2 linked regions of the Solanum lycopersicum genome follow. The protein of the gene in region 1 interacts with the protein of each later gene in a pairwise test. Links are inferred from orthologs where the notes say so. Each region holds a gene or a part of one and is shown on either strand. Other genes may lie near its edges. The genes, in order: receptor-like protein kinase FERONIA and rop guanine nucleotide exchange factor 1.

Region 1 (4,602 bases):
CAAAACCACCCACCCCAAGAAGCAGTGCTTCATCGAAGTTATTGGTGGCTGCCTTGATCTCAGCAAATGAAAAGTGACGACAAAGGTTTGATGGAAGGGACGAAGCATAACTGCCAGTAGTGTTTGTCTTAGCAGAACCAGACGTATGTGAATTTCCATACAAAGAAAGAGGGAGCCAGCCTGATGGTCCATCACTTGGACTTTGGACCTTCCCACGATTCCGGCGGTGCATGACAAGGCATGCAACTAAACCAATAAGAACTACAGCAGCAATCCCTCCTCCAACGCCTCCACCAATAGCTGATTTATTATTTTTTGATTCACCTGTTTTGGATGGCAGAGGGTCAATATGATCTGGTTCTGCAACTGGAACAGGATTAGGCCCAGCAAGGTTATTATTGGTGTCACTCACTTTGAAAATCTCTATTCCATTCAAAATTGCATCATACCAATTGGATTTTGAAGCAACATTTGGATGGAGGGCAAGCCAAAGATCCTGCTGTGAAGCCCCACGAGGTACAGAGACCACATAATCCTTGTGAAAAGGAATTCCATTGCCATCAGCCCAAGCAATGACATCTGCTGCAGGTTCCGCAGTCTGATTATTCATGTAGATGATAAACACCCTCTGGTTGACTTTTGTGATATTTCTAGTGATTTCACAGAAATGGAGCCTAACAAGATAAGAGAACCCTGAATCAACTGAGAAAACCCAGCTCAAATTGAATTGCTGGTTAATTTGAAAAGTTGGACCCATTGACCTAGCTGTCTTATAGACATCAAGTGGGGCAATGTAGGTAGGCTGCCCATTACCATAGGTTATTGTGACATTCTCATCATCGGCAGTATTGGTGACTCCGGTGGCTGCTCCAAAAATATAATTTGAGTCGTCACCCCATGACCTAAACATACCAGTATCACCTGATGGTGAGATTACATTGCCTCCCACATTAAGGCGATAGACATTTTCCAAGGCAGTAGAATTGTCAATGATGAAAGGGGATTTCTGACCCACAATGAAGGTATTTCCATCTTCTGTGTTATAGATATCAGGATGTGAAATAATCTCAATCCCATTGACAAACGCAAAGGAGTTTGAGGTATTTGGAGAGGGTGTGAAAGTGATGTTCAAAGTTTCAGATGGCACATTTATTGAGAATTCCTTGGTCAAGTAATCATAGTTGAGAGCTTCAGCAGTTTGTGCTGCACTGAAATTTCTAAGTAAGGTATATTGTCCGGAGGCCACATCGAAGATGGCATTGGTAGCATTTAGCTTGTTGTAAGACGAGGGATAGAAATAGAGACGGACAAACTTACGACCAGATGCTACAGGGAAACTATAGGTGAACTCAGACTGGAATACACGGGCAGACATAAAAGGAACTTGAGGGACAGAGGGCTTTTGATCAGCAGCATCAGAGATTGATGACTTACTACCCAACATATATTTTGACCCAACATCTGTGCCCCATTTCCGACCATCAGCATCTGGGAGATTGTCAGGACCGCCACAGTTCAACAGAATATCATCACCAGGCACATAATTGGCAGCAAATGTCACATTAATCACAATAGCCAACAACAAAAATGACGAAACAAAGAAAAAACAGAATTTACTGTCGTCTGCCATAGATGCTGCACAAGCCTATAGTAATCCGCAGAAATCACTGGAACAAAAGAAAAAAGAAAGATCAGTTGACCTCCCCTCAATTTTAATTACACAAGGACAATATAAATCTCAAAATCCGGAATCCCTTTTTTCAACTAAATCCAGAAGACTAAATAAAACCCAGCATCAGGATGCAGTATAAGAAGCAGGGGATAGCATAAAGTAGACAGATAAAAGTTTTTCACAACTAAATGAAAGGCACTCAGTCCAAAACCCAGCAGAAGTAGCAACAAATTGCATATAAATAGAACTTTGGAGCTAGATGATGAAAGGCTGAAAGCACTCAGTCCAAAATAAAGAAACCAGAGTATCAAGATCTAGCTAAAACAAGCATACAGCAAAATCATGGGAGCTAAACAAAAGCATAAACAAGTAAAGGAAGACCAAAAAAAAATACCTTAAAGATGAGGAATAGACAGAGAGATCCAAAAGCAGCAAACTTCAGGCCATCGCTGAGTTGACAAACACCAAACGAAGTAAATTGAATGCAGCAGTAAGATGAAAGAAGAGAGAGAATAGGGTTTGAGTTTTAGAGAGAGAGAGAAATGGAGAAGTGAAATTGAAGGAAGATGGTAGTTGCTGGTTAGCTTGATATCTCTTAAAAACTCTACTAATCTAGATTATGAAAATGGAGTAGAAAATAACTGAGTCCCAACTACGGCAAGCATATGACAGTAATACCCTTTAGAGAACGTTGAAATCTCAATTTGCCATTTCTGATTCAATGACAGTCAATGACAGACTGTGAGTTCTTTTAAGCACAAACGCGTTTGGAGTAGGGACCAAATGGGGAGGTGGCAATTCTATTTTATTATTATTATTATTATTATATATAGCTATTTCCTTCTCCCATTCCCACTCTTTTCTCTCTACCATAATTAAAACGGAATATAATACCAATCATATTATTTTGAAATAATTATTTTTAAGCATACAACATAATATTCTAGTTACAACTATTATTCGTATGTATAAATCAATAAATATGTTCTTTAATTTAAAATTATTTGATATATGTCTTTAAATTTTGTGTGTATAATAGTATATGCATGAACTTTTATGGAATTGTATAAGTAGACACACACGTCATACATGACAATTTATATTTTATGTGTGTATTAAGTCAAGTAGAGTGCAAGTGTCTACTTGTTTAACTTTTTTTAAATTTAAATGTAGACTTTATACATATCAAAAGTTGGAGGCATAAATATCAGTTGAGATCAAGTTAAATGACAGATGACTTGATCTCAACTAATATATATATGTCTGTCAACTTTGCATTTGAATAAGTAGATAATTAAATTTATATAAAATCGATCAAATAAATATGTATGTCCTTCGTGACGTGATGCAAATCGTGATTTAGGACGTTACATCGGATTAATGTGTCTATTTTTCCACACTCAAAGTTAAAAAACATATATACGTCAACTGAAATTAAATTAAATCAGCGGCGTAGCAACACTTGTGTCAGGGTGTCCAATTGTACACTCTTCTTTGGAATATTATACCGTATATACAAGTAATATAATAAATTAAGTGGCTAAATAATATATTATGAACACGTTGACACAACAAAATGATGTAATCTAGTGGTTTTCAGGCGCCTTGAAAGAGTAAAGATACACAAATTTAAAGTGTTTGTATGTTTGAATTTCACAGTAGCAATTTTTTCACCTTTTTAAAAGAACTAATTCACTTTAGAACTTGGACACCTTTTGTGAAAATCCTTGCTCCGTCACTGAGTTAAATGTCATATTTATATATTATACTCATTAATTTTCAAGATAAATATAATTTTTTTATTTCAAAAAATATGATGAATCATTATTTAATTTAAATAACCATAATAAAATTGGTAGTCCCTTTTTTAATTATTAAAAAGAATAATTGTATTTGTTGAGGGAAGTACAAATAAATCATTTTCACAAATTGTCCCAAAGTACGAAAGGGTGATAAGAAGTATTGTGATTTTGCCATTTACGCGTTGCTCTTTTTCTTTTTTTAATAAATTGAATATCATGGAGTGTTACTAAGTTGTAACAAGTTATAAAGGAGACGGGTCCCATAGCCAAGTTATTTAGCCGTCAATCATGTGCTCACTGGGGCCTACCACTAATTTATTGGATTAATTACGTGAATGGATTCCTTTTAAAAAATAATTACTTATTTTAAATATACTCTTTAATTATTATCATTTATAGCAACTTTTTCAATTTTTTTCTTTTGTGTGTCGCTCTTTCAATCTTTCTCTGTCTCGCTTTTTCTTTCTTTCTTTCTCCTTTACTGTGTCTCGCTTTCTTTTTTTTCTTTCTTGTTTGTTTGTTTCTTTCTTTCTTTCTTTTGTCCTTTCTTTCTTGCTTTTTTTTTTGGCTCTTTCTCCCTCTCTTGCTATTGCTTTTTTTCCTTTTTTTTAGAATAGTCAATAATTCTAGATTGAATAAAACTTGTATTAATAGATAATTAGACAAATAATATAATCGTAACAAATGAAGAGACATAAAAACTGTAAAATGAATTAAACTTTAATTAAAATGTATTACAAACATATTAAAGATGAATTATTAGAAGAGAAGTAATATAATCGTAACAAATGAAGAGGCATAAGAAACTGCAAAATGAATTAAACTTGAATTAAAAATGTATTACAGACAAATTAAAGTTAAATTATTAGAAAATAATTAAATATGAATGCAGAATGTAGAAAACAAAAGAGCATTATTTGATCTGCATGTAAACTGAATAAAACTTGTATCAATAATCGTAACAAATCAATTGATTAATCGCAAAGTGAATTAAAAATACAAAAGTGTATTACACAAGTATTAAAGTTAAGGTAGAACAGAAAATTAAGCATGAATAAAAAAATTTAATAAATAAAATATTAGACGATGATTTATAGAGTGAATTAAACTTATATTTATAATGAATTA
Region 2 (4,338 bases), on another chromosome or scaffold:
ATGACCCTTGAGTAACTCTCAAGAATTGACTGTCCAACATCCTGCAGTAGAACATATTAAGTTTTCAGAGAGCACAATAGATGAAGACAGCTAGGTCCCTATGTATCTGGTTGTTATTGCATTCATGACAGTAGCTGACGATTCATTTCCTCCCTTTTATCCACCGCTTGCCATCAGAAACATTTCACAAAATATCAATATTCGGCAATATAGAAATAGAATCAAGAATGAAATTCCTTAACAGTATAATAAAGGCATCTTCACAGTTCACACCTTGAGACCACTTGTGACTAGAATTTCCACTGCCTACACGTTCTATTGCATAGAATTTATCATTATTAAGCAAGAAATATCTCATAATAACTCCTCCCTTATCAAAACAAATATCACTATGCCCCCTATCTGCTTCACTCTGCTATTTAGTCTTCATGTGAGTTTGTATCACCTACCTTGTTATACTGTATTTTGTTCATGTCAAGTGCAGTTTGAGGAAGACCAGGGAAGCGAAGCCTGAGACTATGCAAGAGAGTTTCTGCTCGTTCTGCCAGATATTGATTCTTACCACCATCTGCAACAAGGCCCTTGACCTTCCCTCCCCATGACTTGCCTTTAGATTTTCTTTTATGTGGATGTTTCTTCTGGTCCTTCAGTCTCCAAACATGCACAGCAGCCTCAATTCTATTTGCAACTTCCAGCGTATGGTGCTCTGATGACAAGTCCAGGCAATCAAGAAGACATTCAGGTGAGAAATTGTCAGCAGTGATGTAACGATAGATGATATCACCTAGACATGCTTTTCCACTCTGCAATAAGAAATTAAGAAACAATTCAAGAAATGAACAGTTGCAATTGACAAGTAAACAGCATTTCTTTTCATCAAACAAGTACTCTAAAATTGTCCTTGGGAGGATATCAGAATACCCATACGAGGATAACAAATATGGAATGCGGGGAAAAAGGGAACAAAGTCTCTGAAATTTAAGTTTACGGATTATTTATCTAATAAGGAAACTTTACTTTGTTTTCTCTTACCATATTTTCTTATCAAAAACATAAATGTTGAGCTAGCCACTTACATTAGACAACTGTAGCATACTTCATCTCATTTTGTGCAAGTGAACTAAATAAGAGATACAGCAACATTAACCATTGGTGCAATGAAGAAGGCAAGGAAAACAAAGGAAGTCAAGATATAGAATTATTTAAAGAACCTGACATAGGCTGCAGATGGCAGCTCAGTTTTTTTGGACAAAAAACTCTCACTAAATATAACTATAACTTCTACTTTAAGTAAACTCAACAGGATGCAAACCTTGGGCAAAGTTTCAATATAGGCACTTGGAGTCTCCACTTCAGCGAGCACATTACTGTTGATTGCCAAGGCTGCCTTCAGTATCTGGTTAGTGCAATCCCTACACTGTTGCACTCTCTTCCTAGCTTCTTCAGACAACCCTTTTGGGGGGACTTTAGGGCAAGGCAACCACCATTTCTCTTCCTGTCGAACTGAGGGCCTACCAAACCCTATTCCAGGAGGAAAAGAGTCACAGTCATCTCCTTCAGCTAAAACTATCCCTCGATCCACATACCAAAACTCTGTGTCACGAAATCCATCGAGAATGCTAATCAACATAGCATCAAGTTTCTTTAGAGCAGGCAGGTTCAAGTATAAATCAGAACGTGGTCTTGTTGCCATTACTTCATATGTGCCTCCTCCAGGGAATTGTTGAATGGAAGGCACAAGCTCCACAATAGAGTCACTAACACATAGCAGCCACTCCATCTCCCTACACCACATTGCCTTCTTTTGTAGGGCCAGTGGCTCCAACCTCCATAGTTCTCCAAATATAGTAGCTATAGTTATCATACAAGAAAACCCAATTTCAATAAAAAATCAGATGTGCAATCTTTTATGAAATTACTCTTTGAGTTCAAAGGAAAGACGTAGTTATACTAACCAGAAAGATTTGTGATAGCATTTGAGATTGCAAGTGCCGTAGAAACCCCTTTACCCCCTCCAGACATGTCCTCACCAAGAAGCAGCTTGGCAAATCTCTCCTTCATCAGATCAATTTCTAAATCAAACACAACCTAAAAGTCAAGAAACGATAACCCACATTCTAAAGGGGAAAAAAGCAGCAAATGTCCAAAAATACCAACAGATGCACAATGACAAATCCGGTCAATGAAGGTAATATTGAAGCTCAGTACAGATATCAAACATAAAACTTGCATAAATCTCTACCGGATTGGCGTGAAATCGCATAGTTAAACTAAAACCAAAAAAATGCACAAACCAGATAAATCTGCCTGGCGTTTCTCAGACTTGTCATTGCAGAGCACCACATCTTTCCCGCCAATCGCCGGGAACATAAATGGAGGTAGCACTGGTGTGGGAAACTCGGATTTGGCAGTGAATCTCCGGCAAGGGAGCGGCGAAGAGGCCATAGAACTGGATGCGCCTTCAGCATCATAGCGCCGACAAGAGAAACTGCTTGAAGAACTTTCAGACTCACTGACATCAGCACTTAAACTGTAGCTTCCACATCTCTCACTCTGCTGATCAGAACCTTCTTCAGATGATACACTCCCCATCGTTAAGCACTCGAAAATGCTTTAGTAAAAGTAGTAAATAAGAAGATCCTAGATGCAAATGAGCTTCATAATGATTGCAAATAAAAGGGTAAAACAAATGGCGACAATGGGAGAGACAGAGCTTATCAGATATGGCTGTGAAGGAGAAAGAAGAGGAAATGGTGGAGGGTGAAAAAGCAGAAAGAAGATAAAGCAAACCAAAGCGCAGTTCACACAGTACTACTATTACAGTAGCTGTTTCTCTCTCAAAAAAAAAAATACTGTGACAAAAGAGTGGTGCGTGGGAAATTTTACCGTACGATTAGACGGCGTTAGTTTGAAGGGCGTCTGTTGGGTGAAAAAGAACGGCGTTAGTTGAGGAGTTGACGACAAAAAGATACCTACTACCCGACTTGGTCCTTTTCTTCGTTTGGGAGCATTTGCCTTTGCAGTTTGCCACTGGGATTTTGATGATTTACGGAAAATTTAACGCATATCATACGAGTATATTTTGATGACTTGGGGAAAAATCATACTCATGTTTTTGAAAATAACATATGGTGTGAAATTTATAAGAATGAGTTTTAAAATATAAATAATACTCATGACATAATATTATTTATTTTGACCTTATCAAATTTTTTGATTAATTATTTTTTCGTCTCAATTTATTTTAATAACATTTTGAATTATTAAGTAACAATTTAATTTTAAAATAAAAAAATATTTACTTTATTTTTAATGAAATGATTTGAAATAAAACAAATTCTTATCATTCACTTAAAATCACAAATTTTAAAAAATTTTATTTCCTTCTTAAATTCTATGTCGAGTACAATTACCTTATATAAAATAGGATTGGAGTGAATTATCAAGATTATAATATGCACCATGTGAGTGTGATACCATACCACGTATGTTTTTGACCGGACTATGAAAGCTTTGTCACTACGGCGAAGCTTCAACGACCAAAACCAACTATGGCTGAGCTTCGGTCCAGCTTGTTGTTACATGAGTCTTCGCTTCAGCAGATGCATCCTATTACTCTGTTGATGATCTTGTATACTAACCGAGTCTGCACTCGCCCGAGAACACGTACGTCCTCCCTGTAATTGTCTTGTCTTTGTTATGGTTTCAGGGCCTACGTCTACCCGTATGGAGCCACCATCGATACTAGTCCAGGAGGTCAATACTAGCGAGAGTCCCACAGCTACGCTAATTTAACTTATTTAAATCCCCGAAACAAATTGCTAAAAAATTCTAATTTGATAAATTTTAAAATAAGTATAATATATTTGCTAGCGTCGGTGCTTATATCAAATGAATGTGTTTTTACTAAAATTGGCGCACACACATCCCTCTGGTAGTCCAAAAGATTAGACTGGTTCGGTTTGCTTAATTAAATGAAAATAATTACAGCTGTGTCGGGAATTTGAAACTTTTTGTAGTCTGCTTCGTTTTCCTTCTTATGCAGAGATACTTGCATTCACGAGAAAGTTATTTCTTTTTGGGGAGATTTTATTCGCTTTACTGAAAAAATATGGGAATTTTTTGATTTTACATTCCAGTTTAAGCTTAAGATATGATATTGACAGAGGCGGTGAGATTGGAGATTTTTCCGACGTCAGTTTTTGACCCGGAGGAAAATAGGATGAATTGAAGTGTGCTACTCCATTTTAGGGGCTTGCGATTGCACGTGACAATGGCAGGTCGGATTGCAGTTGGCGTGATGGACCCTTGTTTGTCCGGCGTGCTTATGGAAAGTCA

What was found.
Region 2: the proteins of receptor-like protein kinase FERONIA (region 1) and rop guanine nucleotide exchange factor 1 interact in binary tests that used the Arabidopsis thaliana proteins (3 or more experiments, as listed by UniProt). The link is inferred for Solanum lycopersicum from reciprocal best matches to the Arabidopsis thaliana genes FER and ROPGEF1.

What each region holds. Positions count from the first base shown.
Region 1 is NC_090808.1:11,839,567-11,844,168, forward strand, and holds the start of receptor-like protein kinase FERONIA, read right to left. Parts: upstream 2,822-4,602; 5' UTR 2,067-2,821; intron 1,668-2,066; 5' UTR 1,631-1,667; coding exon 1-1,630. UniProt on the Arabidopsis thaliana protein: Receptor-like protein kinase that mediates the female control of male gamete delivery during fertilization, including growth cessation of compatible pollen tubes ensuring a reproductive isolation barriers, by regulating MLO7 subcellular polarization upon pollen tube perception in the female gametophyte synergids.
Region 2 is NC_090800.1:94,187,776-94,192,113, forward strand, and holds the start of rop guanine nucleotide exchange factor 1, read right to left. Parts: upstream 3,112-4,338; 5' UTR 2,593-3,111; coding exon 2,295-2,592; intron 2,073-2,294; coding exon 1,956-2,072; intron 1,852-1,955; coding exon 1,313-1,851; intron 804-1,312; coding exon 450-803; intron 42-449; coding exon 1-41. UniProt on the Arabidopsis thaliana protein: Guanine-nucleotide exchange factor (GEF) that acts as an activator of Rop (Rho of plants) GTPases by promoting the exchange of GDP for GTP. Acts downstream of PRK2 in the control of polarized pollen tube growth by activating ARAC11/ROP1.